5 linked regions of the Ovis aries genome follow. The protein of the gene in region 1 purifies or fractionates together with the protein of each later gene. This does not show direct contact. Links are inferred from orthologs where the notes say so. Each region holds a gene or a part of one and is shown in the gene's direction. Other genes may lie near its edges. The genes, in order: PPP1R12A, PPP1CB, RPA1, PPP1CA and PPP1CC.

Region 1 (3,515 bases):
GGAAGCTGAAAAAACAATAGGGAGGAGTCGTTCCACCCGAACCAGAGAACAAGAAAATGAAGAAAAAGAGGAAAAAGAGAAACAGGATAAAGAAAAGCAGGAAGAAAAGAAGGAATCAGAAACATCTAGAGAAGATGAATATAAACAAAAGTACTCCAGAACATATGATGAGGTAATAGTATACCAGCAACACAACTAGGTCCTATGGCGTGGGTAGTTCTTGTGATTCTCAAAATGCAAGAGGTTTATTTATTAACAAACCACATGCAAATTGCTCATAAGGATTTTAACTGGAAGTCTTAATTATCTTGACATGAGTAGAACATTACTTTTTCTTTAAAATGAACTTAAATATTTTATGTTTTTATCTGTGTTTAATATTTCAAATGGGTGTTAATTCTTACATTTCACAGACTTATCAACGCTACAGACCAGTATCAACTTCAAGTTCAACCACTCCCTCCTCTTTACTTTCCACAATGAGCAGTTCACTTTATGCTTCAAGTCAGTTAAACAGGCCAAACAGTCTTGTAGGTATAACTTCTGCTTACTCCAGAGGATTAACAAAGGAAAATGAAAGAGGTAAGAACGAAAATTTGAAAGTACTTTGTTTCCTTCAGATAATTCTTTGAGTTGGTCTTTCCTAATTAATATAGTTTAACAGAAAAGAACCAACATCCTAAACTGGGACTCATTCTACCTAACCAGAAAGAATATGATGGTTGAGAATGAGAAAAGTAGAAAATAAAAACAGAAAATTGTGTGATCTATCATTGATACGTGTATCTTTATTGCCGAAGACTTAAAAAATCTTTATGTAGATCAACATAGAAAAGTTGGTATAGAAAAACTAGTGGGGTGATTATTTCTAAGAACAGTTTATTAATGTTTCAAGTCATTTCTTGCATATTATGTAGGTCACATCTTTTAACTGTTTGTTGTGAAATTGTTTTAAACAAAAATGATTTAACATATATATATAAAGTCCTTGCCAAAAAAATTATTTCTATGCTTATTTCTTGAAAAATAGGTTTCTTTTTCAGCTGTATATTGGCATGTTGATGCTATTAGCATTTCCTTTTATTGCATATAAACTTCGTATATAAACTCTAATTAACTCCTACTTTAAGAAATGGGTGCTAAATGTATTCCAACTGTAGGTATTTTATATTTTAAAAGGAAAGTCAAGTAGTATTAATCATGATAATATCAGTAGTCCTATAGGAGTAAGCTTCAGAAAATTAAATTTTTTTCAACTGCAGGCTGGCTCTTCTTTTGTTGGTCATTAAATATTTCAGTTCTTTAAACCTCTTGAGTGTGGGGCCTGTATAATGATTATAAAAATTTTGAGCCAACATTTAAATTAGGGATATTTGCATAAAAGTTCAAGTTTCTGTCTTCTTTTGAAAAGTTGGAAGATATGGCAACACTGGATCTGAATTCTCACATCAACAATTGATTAGAGCTGAAAAATAGCAGCACGCCTCCCGCCCCTGCCCTGCCAACTCTTATATGACCTGGATGACCACTGTTGATTTTGGAGTTTGAGGCCTTTGCACTAAACTAATTCTAAAAAACATTAAACCGCTCTTAATACTAGAATTTTGGAGTTTCTTTTGCTGCTTTTTCTTCACAGAAGGAGACAAGGAGCCTTCTAATGACACAGGAGCCTTTTTTTTAGCATTACTTTGCTCCATATGTCTGCTTTTTAAAGCATATTCAGAGGTTCTAATATTCTTCTAGTATGTAAGTCTCAGGATATTTTAACTATCCCAGGAAGGGAACAAATTTGAAGACTTTACATTGATTTGTTTTTAATAAAAGATAATTTTTTCCCAAGGGGGGAGAAAGGTTTGCTCTGAGATACTAAAAGAAAATTCAGTGACTGGTGCATTGATTCTGCCGCTGCATGAGGACTGGGAATGGCAGAAGTGGAAACTGATAGGTGTGTGTGCCTACTAGCCGCTCCATTGTTACAGACTGTTTGGGCATGAGAACTGTTTTCCTGGCAGACACTAATAACTAGGGCCCCATTCTCTTCATAGGATTCATTTATTTTCTCTTCAGTAAATATTATTAAATGTGTCTTTTAAGCAAAATGTTTGTTTTAAGCACTAGAAAAATGAAGTAATTAAAATTCTTGATTTTCAAGAGTGTGTCCAGTGGGAGACACAGACATGTTTAAACCAGGTGTTACAGGAGCACTGAGGGGGCAAAAATTATTTCTGATTAGAGAACTTTAGAAACTTTCACAGAGGTTGACTTAGAATTGTTTTCATATTTACTTTGCAAATACTTTCAAGATGCATTGCTGCCATATGATTGATTTTAATCCTTAACAGAGGGAGAAAAGAAAGAAGAAGAAAAAGAGGGGGAAGATAAATCACAACCTAAATCAATCAGAGAACGAAGGCGACCAAGAGAGAAGAGAAGATCTACAGGAGTTTCGTTTTGGACACAAGATGTGAGAACCTATTAAAATATACCTACTTGATATATGCTTTATCTTTCTAGGAATGTACAATAATGATTTCTTATATGCCTCAGATTATGTATTCTTCGGGTCACCACTATGTGTTTGAGCTAGTTATTTAAATGAAAAGAGTTTTTCTTTTTAAGAATAAACAACTACTCAGATTTCTGACATTACTTATAAGCAAGAGTACTGTCTCAGTATTGGAATAAAAAAATAATGGCTGCAATCTTATAAGTTTTAATTTTTTCTTCATCATCTCTATTTGCCTGACGTTGCTTTTCATTTGCAGGAGAAAGAAGAACTATGGGATAACACAGTTAATGTGAAATTTATCCTATTTCGATACAACATGTACCTCAGAAAGGCAAAATTGATTTAGTTTTCGGGGATTGTTTTTTTGTAGAAACGTTTAAACATGAAGTATATCATCCCACCCCAGATATTCATTCTTAAGTTAAATCTCTACCACTTTCCCAACTCCCAATTATTTATATTTGAAGAAAATTTTAGTAATACTATATATGTAAAAATTTCAGTATGAATTTTCAAGAGATAAGGACTCCTTTTTAAAATATTAAATTTTTATTTTTTAAAAGTAACCATAAATATTATCTTTTAATGAGTGATCATAATACCATGATCATGTTTATTTTAAATAAATTGACAATAAATCCTTAATATTGAATAGACAGTCAGTTTTAATGTCCTCCTGACCCATATTGCCTGGAGGGACCTAATTGTCCACCTGCCCTCTTGGGCATATCATCTGTCCATTTACGTAGGCCTGTGGTGGTGGTTTAGTCGCTAAGTTGTGTCCAACTCTTGTGACTCCATGGACTGTGGCCTGCCAGGCTCCTCTGTTCATGGGATTCTCCAGGCAGGAATACTGGGGTGGGTTGCCATTTCCTTCTCCAGGGGATCCTCCCAACCCAGGGATTGAACCCCAGTCTCCTTCATTGCAGACAGATTCTTTACCAATTAGGCTTCCCTGGTGGCTCAGAGGTTAAAGCATCTGCCTGCAATGAAGGAGTCTGGGGTT
Region 2 (2,616 bases), about 80 Mb from region 1:
GAGTTTTTGGAAATCTAAGTCATGTCAGTCATTCTTGGTGGCATGTGTTTAAATTGGAAATTGGTGTATGAATCCTTAGGTAGTGGCTTTGCTACTAAAAGAATGTGAATTTAGATTTTGTTTTCTTTTGCAAGATGAATGGATGGGACAGGCGTTGAGTAGAGTTTATGAACTCTGATGAAAATGATGTAGAATATTTGCCTAGAAAAACCTTCCAAATAATCTTAAAGTATCTGTTTGTGAATATAGAAACATTTACATTTAAGAAAGAGACCAGCTTTAGCATGCTACTTAATCATTCTTGTTCATGGACTAAAATAACTTTATTTTTTTGTCCTTGACACCCTGTATTTCTCTTAAAAAATGTAACAGAGGTTTCCATTACTATCAGCTAATACAATTGAATGCTAAATGTTTGATTTCTCGTTCAGATTTAAATGTAGTAACCAGGCCATATCCTTCAACAAATAGTTTGTATTTTTGTTGGTGTGTTTTTTTTGGTTTTTGGTTTTTTTTTGTTTTTTTTTTTTTTTTGATATAACCAAAGTGTTGCTGGGGATGTGGAGAAGTTGGAACCTTATATATTGATAGTGGGAATGGAAAATGGTGCAGCCACTTTGGAAAATAGTTTGTCAGTTCCTGAAAAAGTTAAATATAAAGTTTCTATATGACCCAGCATTTCCACTCCTAGGTATATACCTGAAAGAACTGAAAATAGTACTCAAATACATGTATATATACATATTAATAGGAACATTATTTATAATACCCAAAGGTAGAAACAACCCAAATGTTCATCAGCTAAAGAATGAATAAACAAAATGTGGAGTATCCAAAATGTGGCATATTGTTTGGCAATTAAAAGTAATAAAGTACTCATACATGCTACATCAAAATCATTATCTCAGTGAAAGAAGCCAGTCACAATAGCACAAATTGTCTGGTTTCATTTATTTAAAATAGCCAGAAAAGACAGTTCAATAGAGGAAAGTAAAGTAGTGATTGCTTAGAGTTGAAGGGGGTTAGGGCAGTCAATAATGGAAATAGAGTGAGTGAGTGCTTTTGGGAACAAGGTTTCTTCCTGGAGTGACAAACATGTTCTAATGTTAGATTATACCAGTGGTTTCATAGTTGTAAATATGTTAAAAAGTGTTGTCTTTCTACAGTTTAAATGGTGACCTTTATGATACATAATATATATAGCTAAGTGAAAGATCTGTATACACATAGTAAATGAAGATTGAAGAATTTGTGACTAATTACCCTCTAAATAAATAGGAGAATTATGATGAGAACCTGGATCTTTTGACTCTTAGTGCTTTTTTCTCATCACAGAGATACACTAGTTTGAAAATTTTTATACTTAGATCTAAGAATTGAATAGTTGATGGGTTTTGTGTACTTGAGCTTTTGTCACTAAATTGTCAATGGAATGACCAATAATAGTGATATTCAGACATTTGTACTTTTTATTTATTTTTTGATACTTTTTAAATGTGAGAAATGACTGTAGAACTTTGCTATTTTTTCCTACAATTTTACAATTGATGTCATTTATTGAGAAGCCTACTATGTAACAATAATTTCCTTAAACTTATTGTACTTGAAAAAGGTAACATTGTTATTAAATTATTTACTTTAAGATATTGAAACCGTCTGAAAAGAAAGCTAAGTACCAATATGGTGGACTGAATTCAGGACGTCCTGTCACTCCACCTCGAACAGCTAATCCACCGAAGAAAAGGTGAAGAAAGGAACTCTGTAAAGAAACCATCCGATTTGTTAAGGACATACTTCATAATCTTTAAGTGTGCACTGTAAAACCATCCAGCCATTTGACACCCTTTATGATGTCACACCTTTAACTTAAGGAGACGGGTAAAGGATCTTAAATTTTTTTCTAATAGAAAGATGTGCTACACTGTATTGTAATAAGTATACTCTGTTATAATATTCAACAAAGTTAAATCCAAATTCAGAATTACCCATTAAAGTTACATCTTCACGTACCACAGTTTTTAAAGCTGAAAAGCATCCCAGTTAAACTAGATGTGATAGTTAAACCAGACGAAAGCATGATGATCCATCTGTGTAATGTGGTTTTAGTGTTGCTTGGTTGTTTAATTATTTTGGGCTTGTTTTGTTTCTGTTTGTTTGTTTTTGCTGAAATAATGGCAAATTCTTTAAATTTTTTCCCCAAACATTTAAAAAAGTGCAATGTGGGAAGATTTTTGAAGACATTCATCAACTATTAATTTTCCATTGCTTATTTACTTATGTACCTGTTTGATCTTACTAAGAAAACTTATGCCTCATTACAGTAAAAAGGAATTTAGAGATATTTTTTAAAATATGCAAACTGTCCAATCGAGTGATTTAATCAGTTTGGGCAACTGTTACAGCTGATAGTGAATATTTTGCTTCATACAGAAATGGCCACTGATTTGAGTTTGTGCACTCTAATTTTAACTTATTGATGCTCTATTGTGCAGTAGCATTTCATTTAAGATAAGGCTCATTTAGTATACCCAACTAGTTGGTAATGTGATTATGTGGTACCTTGGCTTTAGGTTTTAATTCGCACGAAACACCTTTTTGGCATGCTTAACTTTCTGG
Region 3 (4,257 bases), on another chromosome or scaffold:
GAAGAAGTGCAGATGAGTGAAGAAAGAGATCATTCAAAGTCTCTGCTGTAGAAATGGTGACCTGAATGGACTTGGGGAGCAAAGACCACTTCTGAAGTACGTAGGATTTCCACTCATCCACGGGCAGATCCATGCTACTTCAGACCTAAAAAATGAATAAGAAAACAAGGAATTCAGTTTTCTACAAATGCATAATTCCAGAAAATCGATTTCATTCAAGCATGCACCACGAGGCCACAAAATCAGATCTTGTAGTCTCTTCCTACAGTTGTTTACATGCCAGGGAAGGATGTATCCTCTCCCGCACCAATTCACATCCCTTCATTCAGAAATTATTTACTGAAAACTGACTTTGTTCCTGGCATCGTACTAGGGAACGGTTATACAATGATGAATCAGATTTCTTACATAGTTCAGTTTTTTCTTTTCAATCCCGAGGTCCCTTCTTTAGTTCAAGCCCTCACCATTTCCTGTCTGGCATTCTTTCTCGAGTGTCATAATTAGTCTTCAGGCCCTCAGACTATCCCTCCCTGTTCCCCCTTCCCAATTTAGTCCATCCTCCATACTGAGACCGATGTCAATTCTCTGCCTTAAATTCACTGATGCTCCTCCTAGAACTTGGGGAAGCCCAGTACAAACCCTTTATCATTTGACCCCTGACCTACTTTCTGATCAAGTCTCGCTTTTTCCTCTATACCCTACTATCCGAATTTGCACACATCCTTCAAGACTCAGTTCAAATGGTTCCTACTCCGAGAAGCCTTCCCTGATTTTGGCACCTGTGACGACAGGCGCACACTTTGCGTCTCTCCTGGGACCCAAACCACGTCTACACTGAGTTAAGGCTACTCACAGCAGAAACTCCCTCGACATACTGTGCTCCCCTCTGGGAGTAGGGACCAGGTCTTATTTACCTTGAGAGACCCCCCCCACTGTGCCCAGTTCAGGGTCTGGCACCTGCGGGAGCTCAGCTCGGTGTTGCTGAAAGAAGCGAGTCACTGCTTCGACTACTTTCAGTAGCAGAATTATCAGGGAACCCCTCGAACACTCCTCTGGGCTAGCAGTCTATGGCTGCCCGCCGAAGGCCGAGCGCGGTACGTTTCCTAGAGCCCGCGGGGAAAGCTCCCGGAACCCCTCCGCCCTGCGCCCTTGGCGGCGCCCGCGTCACGGTTCGCGCGCCCCAGCGCTCGGCGCCCCGCCCCTAGGCCCCCGCCATCCCGCAACAAGGCTCGGGACCCGGACTCCGGTGGGTCACGTGAGCCGCGTGCCGCGCCTCAGCCAATGCGGCGGCTGCTTGGCCCTGAGACTGCCGCGTGCCGTGCGCACGTCGGGAGGCGGGGGCGGTTCACGCAGCTCCTCCGGCCAATCGCCTTGGAGCGCGCGGGTCCCCGGGAGTAAAGCCAGGCTTGTGTTGGGGGAGCCGGAGCGCGGGAGTTGTTGCAGCGGAACCATGGTGGGCCACCTGAGCGAGGGGGCCATTGCGGTGAGGCGACGCCTGCGAGCTGGGCGCGGTCCGGGGCGGCTGTGGGCCCTGGGGCCGTGCGGGTGGAGGAGGGGGAGAGAACACAGGAGCCGGAGTGATAGCGGGGGTTGGGTAGGAACCCCTGGATGACTCCCTAGAATCATCAGTTAACGCATTTTTATCGTCATCTTTTTCAACATGCTCATGTTTTTCCTGCTTCAGGAATTGAAACAAAGTAAACGATTGATCTTCCCCCATCTCTCTCCTGCAGCCACTCTTTCTTCTTCCCTTCCCCCATCCGCAGCGAAACTTTTTGCAAGAGTTGTTAGTTTTCAGTTCTTTTCCTCGCCTCGCATTCCCCTTTAACCGACTCGAATTAGTCACTCTCCTCCCTGATCGCTGTAACCCTGGCTGAAGTCAGCAGTGCCTCCTGGGGTTGTTAAGTCCAGCAGACACTTTGGAGATCTAAATCTGTCAGTTCTCAGCAGCGTTTGACTATCGGGCAAAGCTTTCTTCCGGTAGCATCCTCTTCTAAGACGGGAGAAAATCCGTCTTATTTTCAGCTTGGCTTGTCTTTCCCCGTCTTATTTTCAGATCCTTCTGTAAATTTTTGTTGACTCAAGGCTCAACCCTAGGCCCTCTTCTCCCAAAACAATAAAATTACCGTCTCTGTGTCAGTTGCTCACAAGTTTTTTTTTGTGCAGGGCCAGCTTTACTCTGAAAGACAAACCTCTGTCATCTGTGTACTTGATAATCTCAAAGACATTTTAAATTCAACATGTTCCAAAGAAAATCTAATATCTTCCTAAATTTGGGCCTCTGCTGTCACCTGTCTGGATGCATGGCACCATTATTCATTAAGTTATGCCAGCTAGAAATTGTGGAATCATTCTTCCTTTAAACTCTCACCCTGGCTGTCACCCTACGTAAGTTTGGTCTGTTATGCCTTCACCCATGTCTCTTAAATCCAGCTACTTCTCTCCAGGCACCATTGTTTGTGCCTGGCCTTCTTCCTTTAACCCAGCATAATCTTCCTCCTGCCATTCCCAACACGGCATATTCCTACCTGTTCTTTCCTTTTTTTCAGCTTTTTAAAATGTAAATTGTAAATTCCTGGTATATTTCATACTCCTGCCTTCCGCAGGGGCTTTGAACATTCTTTAACCTGTGCCTACTGCCTGGGTGGTGCTTTTTTAAAAAAATTATTGTCATTAAATTTTTTATTTTGTATTGGAGTGTAGCCAATTAACAACGGGGTGTTCTTCATTCTTCTCCTGTTGACTAACATAATCTTCAAGTCTCCACTCAGTTACTTCCTCAAAGAACTCTTCCTTGACTCAGTTTGCTAGGCTTAAGTCCTTTTATTTTCCGACCCTAATTCCTGCTTGTTCACCTATTATCTGTGATTTCAGGCAAGATATTAAACTTTGTCTTTCCTCTTCTGTCACAGGCTAATCATACCTAGTACCTGTTGCCTGTGATTAGTGGAGGGATTAAATGAGCTATTAATTTAAAGTGCTTAGTCCATGTCTGATACATAATATATGTGCATTACTTGTTACCTGTTATTAACAGTTGCAGATATGATTTTACATTAAATATTGTTCATTTCATTAATGTCAGTTCCTTTCTCTCACCCCCCCGACTGGATTGTAAATGCTCTGAAGCCTGAAATCTTGTCTGATTTTTTTTTTTGCCCAACACAGTCTCCCCGATTCCTGGAGCAGTGCTAGCAGGTATTAGGTGCCCAATAAATGTTTACTACTTGCGTGTGAGGCAGTGAAAAGAAAGGGACAGAGCTGGATGGAGAGGCACAGTTGGCAAAGCGGAGTGAATATTTTATTTTATTTTTTATTTTTTTTGGCAAAGCGGAGTGAATATTTTAATACATTAAAAATAATTAACCTTTAGAAGTGATTGCAAACTGTAGTCCTTGTCTCCTTTATAGCTGCAACCTTGCATCTTTAAGACAAATTAGGAGTTCTTTACTTTTAAATTAAAACAGTGACTAAGGTATTATTTAAATAATTTGCTGAGTTTTTGTCACATTCAAAATTGTAGTATTACTTAGATCTTGTTCATAAATGACAATGAAAATTTATGTGTGTGTTTTGGTAGAGAACCATTGTCAAATTTCTCATCTAAAGCAAGTAATATTTTAGTTCAAAAGACATAGACCCCCCCCCCCACAAAGGGCAAGCAACTAACGCACACAAATAGTAGGGACATTTTCAGCAAGAGCTAACATAAGAGATTATTCATGGAACTATTGTGGTAAATAGAACAAATAGTATTTCTGTCTTAAGTAATTAGGTAATACAAAGAGAGGGGAAGGGAACTAATATTTTTTATCATTTCCAATGTGCCAGATATTTCATTATAGTCAGTACTTACAGTAACCCTGTAAGGTAGATTTTTATCATTAACCCCATCTTACAGACGAAGAAATTAAAATACAGAGAATTAGTTTGTGCACGAGCTGAGGATTTGAACACATACTTTTGAGCATTACCTTCTGTTGCTTTGTATTTTTTTTCCTTACAGTTTTATGGAGATGTAATTGATACCGCACTGTGTACGTTTAAAGTGTACGGCATAATGATCTGACTCACATCGTGAAACTGTTACCACAATCAGTTTAGTGAACACCTGTCACCACACACACATGCAAAAGGAAAAATAGTATTTTTTTCCTTGCCATGAGGGCTCTTAGGACTTACTCTCTGAACAACTTTCATATTTAGCATCGTTAATTATATTAATCCTATTGTATATTACATCGAGCCTGGTACTTA
Region 4 (4,007 bases), on another chromosome or scaffold:
GGTCAAAGAGGACAGGTTGCAGGGCATCGCACCATACCCCTCTGGTACCCTCTCCTCTTGTGGGGTGGGGGTGGGGCACAGGCCCAGAGGGGCAGAAAGGCCAGGCCCCCTACCGGAGACCCAGGCCCAGCCCCTGTCCCAAGGGGCCCAGCTTACCTCCCTGCTGCACCTCACCTCCTCCTCTCACTTCCTCCTCAGCCACAGCTTCAGCAACCCGCTGAGGGCCCCTCCCAAGTGCGTGGTGGGGGGGGTTACCCCTTCCTCTCCAGGGCTCTTCCGGCCTGCCCCAGTAGCCCTGGGCCATGGGCTCCTCCCACCACCCCGGTGGGCTAGGTGGGTGCAGGCCTGGGTTCTTGTGCTGGGTGTGATGCAGCCAGGGCCTGCCAGAGGTAGAGAGGCCACGCTGCCTCCAGATGTGAGGTCACAGGCAAATAAAACACTCAATTCAGGGTTCCAGTGAGTATTACACTTTATTTAACGTGACTTCTTTTGTTAACGCTTTCGACAAGTCAAACAGTAAGTCATTACTGCGCTACTCAAAACACAACGACGAGACATTAAAAAATAGTAGTAATGGTGTAGCATGCGCCACGGGCAGGGGGACCAAAATGAGCTCGGCGTTCAGCGACAGGTGTCTGGGTATGGTCAGCCGCCCGCAGGCCACAGGGACCCTAGAGGTGAGAGCTCCTCCGTCAGTCTGAAGCCAACCCTTGCTATCTTTGAACCTGTTTCCTTTCCTGCACTTCGTGGATTTAATCTGCACTCTCTGGGGAGACCCAATGAGATATCAATGAGGTCACACCACCTTCTAGCCCGGGACAGAAATGGGAAGGACTATTGGGCCCTTGAAAGAGAAAAACAACTCCACACTACTTCCGGCCGCACATCCTCGGTGCAAGGGTGGGTAACTCCTCAAGGGCGGAACTAGAGTCGACCTCGCCCCGTGAAGCCCCGCCCCCAGTGTAGGCTCCGCCCCCGCAACCAGGTCAGCCCGAGCCCCGCCTCCCGAGCCGCCGCGGGCCCCGGGCCTGGCGTCCAGTGGAGGCGCTAGAGCGCAGGGGCGGCGGGCGACCGGGCGGGCCGGGGCGGGGCCGGGTGCGGCGGGGCGGGGCTGCCGGCAGAGGAGGCGGGGCGGCGGGCCGGGGCGGGCCCGGGCGGGCGGAAGGAGCACCAGGCCGGAAGGAGGCCGCGGGAGGGCGGGAGGCAGGATAGGGCCCGGAGGTGCTGGGCCAGAGCGGCGGCGCCGCCATGTCCGACAGCGAGAAGCTCAACCTGGACTCTATAATCGGACGCCTGCTGGAAGGTTGGCCGGGGAGGCGAGGGAGGTGGGCGCCCGCCGCGCCCTGGTCCCCTGCCCGGCCCGGAAGTGGCGCGCGGGTGGACCTGCCCCTCCCAGGGCCAGCTTTGACTGGGCGGGGACGGGCCGCGAGGTCCCGTGGCCACATCGTGCCCCCACCCCACCCCAGTCGTGGCGCGCTGGGAGGTCTGGGGTTGCTCCCCTTGCCAGAGCAGAACCGGGGTTGGCGGTGGCGGGGGTGGGCGCGCAAGGATTGGCCTGGGCTCTTGGCTGAGGGAGAAACCTGAGAAGCCTAGTCCCCCAGGAAGGGGTCCTGTGCTGAGGTTTTGGATGGCCTCTGCGCACAGCAGTCCCCTCGCGAGCGCCTTGAGGGCAGTTGGGGGTCCCAGGAGGCTCAGCAGCAACAGCTGCCCCTGGGCAAGGCGGGGCCGGGAGGCCCAGGAGCCCCTACCCAGAAGTGCCTTTGGGGCCACCAGTGACATTCACCCTCTTCTTGCCTGAGGAACCAGGGTCCTGACGCCTCTTTCCGCCCCCAGTGCAGGGCTCCAGGCCTGGAAAGAATGTACAGCTGACGGAGAACGAGATCCGTGGTCTGTGCCTCAAATCCCGGGAGATTTTCCTGAGCCAGCCCATTCTTCTGGAGCTGGAGGCACCCCTCAAGATCTGCGGTGAGCCCCCAGCCCAGGTCCCCGTGGCCTCCTGAAAGCGGCCTTGCCCCCCACCCCTCCCAAGTTTCTCCTCCCTTGGGCCCAACCCTGACCCTGGGTTCACGTTTAGGCTGCCCTAGTGCTGACCTGGTTCCCTGGGTCACAGGTGACATTCACGGCCAGTACTATGACCTTCTGCGGCTGTTTGAGTACGGCGGCTTCCCTCCAGAAAGTAACTACCTGTTCCTGGGGGACTACGTGGACAGGGGCAAGCAGTCTTTGGAGACCATCTGCCTGCTGCTGGCCTATAAGATCAAGTACCCGGAGAACTTCTTCCTGCTCCGTGGGAACCACGAGTGTGCCAGTATCAACCGCATCTACGGCTTCTATGATGAGTGTGAGTGGGCAGAGCATCTGGGCTGCCCTGGTCCTAAAGGGCTCTCCTTGCCATTCAGTGCGACCCTCGTGTTGACCTGGTGGCTGGGGTGTCAGCGTCTGACAAACACCTGCTAAGCTGAGTGCCGTGAAGGTAGCACCAGCCCATGCCACCCTCCCCGACCCTCCTAGAGCAGATCCTGGCACTCAGGAGGGACCTAGCCAGTGGCTGCTGGCTGAAGGGCTGCCAGGATTCTAAGGCAGGGCCTCACCTGCTGACACTCCCCTCCAGCGCATCCGATACTTAAGCACTTAGGATGCCTGTTGGGACTGGACTCTGTTAGACAGAAGCCAAGATGAACCAGACCCTGTCTCGACCTGGCCCTGCTCTTGTGCTGGGGGTGGATGCCAACCTTGAGGTCGTGCCAGAAGTGGAACTCTGGGGTTCCCGTGGACTTGGCTGCTTTAGAATTCTGTCTGGGAGGCAGTGGGGTAGTAGGGGTAGGGGGCGGGGGTTCGGTTTCCTTTTTTGCCTTCCATTCTCTCCTCCTAGCTGTGTCTGAACAACACACAATGTGTCCTGGAAGGCCTGGAGACCTGGGCTGAGGGTGGAGCAGAGGCCCTCTGGTGAGCTGTCTCCTTCCCCCTGGGCAGGCAAGAGACGCTACAACATCAAACTGTGGAAGACCTTCACTGATTGCTTCAACTGCCTGCCCATCGCTGCCATCGTGGACGAGAAGATCTTCTGTTGCCATGGAGGTGAGCACAGCTCTGGGCATGTGAATTCTTGAGCAGGATGAGCCTCCCAGGGTGAGCACCCCTGGGGACCTTGGGACAGAAGCGTCGGCTGGAAGATGTGTTCCCAGTCGCCAGGAACAGCTCTCCCTGGAGTCCTGGTATGGGTAGTACTTCTTCCATGACGTGCCCCCGCACTGCAGCATTAGGCTGCACCCACTGTTGTGTCATGGCCTCGCCTTCTTGCATGGAGTTTGCTTGTCCCCTTTCTCCAGGGCTTCCCTAGTGGCTCAGATGGTAAAGAATCTGCCTGCAATGCGGGAGACCCAGGTTTGATCCCTGGGTTGGGACGATCCCCTGAAGAAAGGAATGGCTACTCGCTCCAGCTTTCTTGCCTGGACAGTCCATGGGGTTGCAAAGAGTCGGACACGACTGAGCGAAAACACTTTCTCCAGGGAGCTCTGTGCTCCTTGAAGGGACAGGGACTTGGAAGAGGCAGAAGGTGATGAGTTCTGCCTTTGTAGGCTCCCAGGAATCCTGGAGAGGTGGGGGGCAGAGGCTGATTGGCAAAGGCTGCCTGGAGGAGGTGACCTGCCCCCTGTGCCCTCCAGGCCTGTCCCCAGACCTACAGTCCATGGAGCAGATCCGGCGCATCATGCGGCCCACAGATGTGCCTGACCAGGGCCTGCTCTGTGACCTGCTGTGGTCTGACCCTGACAAGGACGTGCAGGGCTGGGGCGAGAATGACCGCGGCGTCTCCTTTACCTTTGGAGCTGAGGTGGTGGCCAAGTTCCTGCACAAGCATGACCTGGACCTCATCTGCCGGGCACACCAGGTGGGCTGGCAGCCCCCATCTGGGTTAGAGCAGGGCTGGCAGCCAGCTCCTGCTGAACTAACCGCCTCCACCCTCGTCCAGGTAGTAGAAGACGGCTACGAGTTCTTTGCCAAGCGGC
Region 5 (4,130 bases), on another chromosome or scaffold:
GTTTGTCTTCTTGCGAACAGAGTTACAGCACGGGAGGGTAAGTTGGTGACTGGGGAAAGCTGAGTGAGCAACTGCGCCAAGCAGGTGGGATCTCTGAACCTTAACGCCTCCAAGCCAGCCGCAGGGAGGCCTCGGGTCCATGTGGAAGGAGCCTGGGCCCCACCACTTTTGGGCCCCGGGGGGAACACCGGTTTTGAGACTGGATGCCCGGGTGGCACAATGATCTCGATATTTCGGGCTGGGAATTCGTGCATTTTGTGTGCCTTGAGAGACAAAATTAATTTCTCTGGCGGGAGGGAAACGGCTTTGCAAACTGTAAAGCGCTGCAGGAAAAAAGCAGTTAAATGAAAAGGTCAGGATCCAAAAGAGCAGATGCGTTTGCTGAGTGTAACTGCACTTTCAAACCCAGCTAAGACGACACGCAGCCCCCGGAGGTGGCACATTTTGGAGGGATCTCCTGGAGAGAGATTATATGTGGAGACTGAGAAGCCGATGGAAATTGACCAAAGTTTTCAGGGGTATCTGCAGAAGTGGGGACCCGACCGCAAACCTGCAAATTCTCCTTTATCTGCTGCACACGCTCGCTCATCTTCGCTCTGGCCGGAATCAGGGTAAACCGTTCCGATGATTATATAACTTCGCGAGTTCAAGAAAGATAATCCAGAGAGAGATGATGAAATTTTTTTGAGGGTAGATTAAAAAGAATTTTTTTCCCCAAATGTAAGTTACAGAGTGCACAAAAATGTGCATACAAATACCCATATTTCCACCACTCAGAAAGAATAACCTAACATTTTTATTTATCTGGGAGAGGACTTTTTAAATTAACCATCAAATGTATCTTTCCCTCCCCCCTAAATTCTAGCAAATTTGAAGCCAAAAAGAGTCAACCTATTTCACTGTTCACCTCTACCACAGATTTATCTTAAGGGGAAATTCCAGGACACCCAAATTCCCTCCGTGGGCTTTTCACATGGCCAGGTCTGCAAACACTTGGCCGCAGTGAACAGTGTCCTGCGGAGCCCGCAACCCTCGAGTGCACAGATGCATCTTCTCCCCCATCCCCAACTCCCGCGTTCAACTTTGCAACTCACGCTCCCGCCAGGGGGCCTATTTGCTCGGCCCGTTTGGCGGAAGGATTCCGCGCGCGAGCGCATTTACGCTCAACCGTCTCCTTCCCATTCCCGCGTTCTGGCCCCGCCTCCTTCAATCTCCCTGGCCCCGCCCCCTCCCGGGTGCCCTATGGCCCACAAAGAAGTCCCGGCCGGACCGCTGCACTCCCCCGCGCGCATTCGTGCGCCGCCCGAGGCTGGCTAAGGAGTCGGCGGCCATTTTGTTCTTCTCGTGGTTCCAGTGGGGAGAGAAGGAGGAAGCAGGGAGCGGGGCGGTTGGGGGGAACCCACCGCGGCTTCTGCCACCGCCGCCACCACCACCATCTCTGTGCCCGTGGCGTGGGAAAGGAGGTGTGAATCCCGGGCGCGAGCCGGCGGCGGCGCCGCTGCGGGAAGGTCGGCGGTGGGAAGGCGATGGCGGATATAGATAAACTCAACATCGACAGCATCATCCAACGGCTGCTGGAAGGTGAAGGGGGCGGCGGGCGGCTCCGGAGACTCGCGGGGGAGGGGGATTTGGGAGGCCTGTTGGGCTTGCTGCGCCGAGACGAGTGAGCCCCGCGAGTTCGCCCGCGGGCCGGGGACTGCCGCGGGAGGGAGGTTGCCCGGCGTTCCGCGCTTGGCCCAACCTGCGGACCCTCCTGGCTCCGCTCATTCATTGCTTGAGGGTGCAGCCTTTCTCCTGGCCGTGAAATTTGAAAACTCCGCTCCCCACCCCCACGTTTCCGGTACGTACCCCCGTGCGCCCGGCACTCCGGACCAATCTTTGGAGAATATTGGGGGCCCCAGTCCAACCTACTGGACTGCTCTTTCCGAACTTCGTGGTTCTCAATCTTTTGGAAAGCAATAAGATGCGGATATGGATTTCACCAAGCTTGAGGGCTTCTTTCCTAGCCTGCTTATTTTTATTTTTTTGTGAGGCTTGGGGTCGGGGGCCCAGTTACTTGTTACTCGGTAACGAACGTTCATTCTCAGAGAGATGTTGGAACCTGTCTTCTTCTACCCTCCCAGATATTCTTTTTAAGTTGTCTTTATCCCGGGGAAGTCTCCGCGCTCTTTTCTGAACCTGCCTCTGAATCGTGAAACCGGCAGTGATGACAGTTTCGTTAGGATCTTTCCAATGTGCCAAGCTCTGTTAAGCGCTTTGCGTTCACTGACTGCATTTTGCTGTCTTTTAGTCGCATCCGACTTTTCGATCCTATGGACTTCAGCGTGCCAGGTTTCCCTGTCCTTCACCATCTCCCGGAGCTTGCTTAAACTCATGTCCGTTGAGTCGGTGATACCATCCAACCCAACCATCTCGTCCGCTTCTCCTGCTTTCAGTCTTTCCCAGCATCAGGGTCTTTTCTAATGAGTTGTCTCCAGTACTTTGCGTGTGTCGCAAAAATCATATTAGCCATGCTTCTAAAGCGCTTACTGTGTGTAAGGCATTTTTTGGAGCTCCTTACACAGATTTCATGTAATACACCAGGTAGATGCCTTTTTTTCCTGACTAAGACCCAGAGAAGTGTAGTCACTTAACCAGTTAGTGACAGTCAAGTTTCAAACCCAGGCAGCCAGGAATTCAACGTCATTCAAGTCACCCTATGTGTGAAGGAAGGTGTCCAGTGGTTGAGCAAAGGTTAAAATAAATCTTCAGTTTTGACTGACCTAAAACTCCTGAGGTGTCTTGCGATTGATTTCTATTGATGTGGGATGGGAGAGGGATGAAGTTCGGATTTTAAGGAGAGACACTGAAATAAAATCACCCACCACCCCTGAATTCTAGAGCACATCTATTAATAATAACGTCTAATTCCTAACTTTGAAAGAATTCAGATCCTTTTCTTGAGTGTTGGATAATGTAGATTTGGCTGAGTTTTAACTGCATTTTTGCCTTTATATTCTAAAATATTGTTGGACTGTAAATGCTCAGAGATGGAGTCGAGCCTAAACAGTTGGACAGCTCTGATGTTAGAATTTACAGATCTTTTAAGTCATGAGAATGAAACTTCATCTTTTCTTAATCTCTGTTAAGGTTTTTTTCCTTTTATAGTGTCTCAAAACAAAAACTCGTTAAATGAGCCCCTGAAATGTCACTGCCATTTGTGGGTGAAAACCTTGTTCATTCAGTATCTGCCGTTTATTAGAGGAATCACACTTTTAATATTAGTTGATATAGTTCTTTGGTTTATGTGAGACAGCAGTGGGTCAGAAACGGATTAAAACAATTTGCTGTAGGAAAAGAACTTAAATTTTTTTCATTCAAAAATTGTAAATTCTGCATGTCTATGCAGGGACATGTGTGGCTTTATTTCTTTGAGAAAGCTGGAAAAAATGGAAGCTGTGGATTAGAAACAGAATTTTAAGATTAGTTAGGTCTTAATTGTGGGGTTGCCCATAACTTTTATATTCATATAACATCTTGTTAATTTTAATCTTATTTTTTAAATTGTGCTAAGGAATTTGCGTTGATTAACCTGGATCATTTACAGTGAGATCAGTCATTATTTCTTAATAGTTTCTATACATGTTATGTTGTGCTGGAAAACCAGGTTTTTTTAACATTTCATTTTTTTTCATTGAAATTAGTACAGCAGTGCATTTTCAGTCCTCGGGAATAAACTAGCTGCTCAACATTCTTAACGTTTGTTTTTTTTTTTTTTTTCTCGTCAATGTTAGATTGGCAGAGAAACTATTGAAAATGATCTATTGAAGATATATATGTATATCTTTCCAGGGTAGAAGATGTTGATAAGTTTTGTGATTTTTTTTTTTTTAATGCCTCACAAAGTTTTTCCTCTAAAAATTTTCATTAAGATTTAAGTATATCTGAAGATGGAGGGAATGTGAGTTTTATGACCTTTTTAGAATTTTTTACATTTTCAGAATTGTCTAAGGTGGAGGACTATACAAGCTAGTTGAGAAGTAGCTCAGTGATAGTACTAAAAAGACCATTCAAAAGTGAAGTCTTATCTAATGAAACGTCTTGCTTTAGGTTTTAGTCACTACAGCTTTGCAGTTATTTGCTACTCTAAA

Evidence for each region.
Region 2: the proteins of PPP1R12A (region 1) and PPP1CB purify together in Homo sapiens (affinity purification with mass spectrometry; 6 studies listed by BioGRID and IntAct, with this or other methods). This does not show direct contact. The link is inferred for Ovis aries from reciprocal best matches to the Homo sapiens genes PPP1R12A and PPP1CB.
Region 3: the proteins of PPP1R12A (region 1) and RPA1 fractionate together in Homo sapiens (co-fractionation; 3 studies listed by BioGRID, with this or other methods). This does not show direct contact. The link is inferred for Ovis aries from reciprocal best matches to the Homo sapiens genes PPP1R12A and RPA1.
Region 4: the proteins of PPP1R12A (region 1) and PPP1CA purify together in Homo sapiens (affinity purification with mass spectrometry; 3 studies listed by BioGRID and IntAct, with this or other methods). This does not show direct contact. The link is inferred for Ovis aries from reciprocal best matches to the Homo sapiens genes PPP1R12A and PPP1CA.
Region 5: the proteins of PPP1R12A (region 1) and PPP1CC purify together in Homo sapiens (affinity purification with western blotting; 3 studies listed by BioGRID, with this or other methods). This does not show direct contact. The link is inferred for Ovis aries from reciprocal best matches to the Homo sapiens genes PPP1R12A and PPP1CC.

Annotation. Positions count from the first base shown.
Region 1 is NC_056056.1:115,834,159-115,837,673, reverse strand, and holds part of PPP1R12A (protein phosphatase 1 regulatory subunit 12A), read left to right. Parts: coding exon 1-172; intron 173-413; coding exon 414-582; intron 583-2,342; coding exon 2,343-2,464; intron 2,465-3,515. UniProt on the Homo sapiens protein: Key regulator of protein phosphatase 1C (PPP1C). Mediates binding to myosin. As part of the PPP1C complex, involved in dephosphorylation of PLK1. Capable of inhibiting HIF1AN-dependent suppression of HIF1A activity.
Region 2 is NC_056056.1:35,718,972-35,721,587, forward strand, and holds part of PPP1CB (serine/threonine-protein phosphatase PP1-beta catalytic subunit), read left to right. Parts: intron 1-1,643; coding exon 1,644-1,748; 3' UTR 1,749-2,616. UniProt on the Homo sapiens protein: Protein phosphatase that associates with over 200 regulatory proteins to form highly specific holoenzymes which dephosphorylate hundreds of biological targets.
Region 3 is NC_056064.1:22,789,264-22,793,520, forward strand, and holds the start of RPA1 (replication protein A 70 kDa DNA-binding subunit), read left to right. Parts: upstream 1-1,450; coding exon 1,451-1,483; intron 1,484-4,257. Other genes in the region: SMYD4 (SET and MYND domain-containing protein 4), read right to left, coding at 1-133. UniProt on the Homo sapiens protein: As part of the heterotrimeric replication protein A complex (RPA/RP-A), binds and stabilizes single-stranded DNA intermediates that form during DNA replication or upon DNA stress.
Region 4 is NC_056074.1:41,699,846-41,703,852, reverse strand, and holds the start of PPP1CA (serine/threonine-protein phosphatase PP1-alpha catalytic subunit), read left to right. Parts: upstream 1-1,198; 5' UTR 1,199-1,248; coding exon 1,249-1,303; intron 1,304-1,833; coding exon 1,834-1,965; intron 1,966-2,110; coding exon 2,111-2,341; intron 2,342-2,973; coding exon 2,974-3,078; intron 3,079-3,665; coding exon 3,666-3,889; intron 3,890-3,970; coding exon 3,971-4,007. Other genes in the region: TBC1D10C (carabin), read right to left, coding at 1-27. UniProt on the Homo sapiens protein: Protein phosphatase that associates with over 200 regulatory proteins to form highly specific holoenzymes which dephosphorylate hundreds of biological targets.
Region 5 is NC_056070.1:54,611,194-54,615,323, reverse strand, and holds the start of PPP1CC (serine/threonine-protein phosphatase PP1-gamma catalytic subunit), read left to right. Parts: upstream 1-1,330; 5' UTR 1,331-1,526; coding exon 1,527-1,581; intron 1,582-4,130. UniProt on the Homo sapiens protein: Protein phosphatase that associates with over 200 regulatory proteins to form highly specific holoenzymes which dephosphorylate hundreds of biological targets.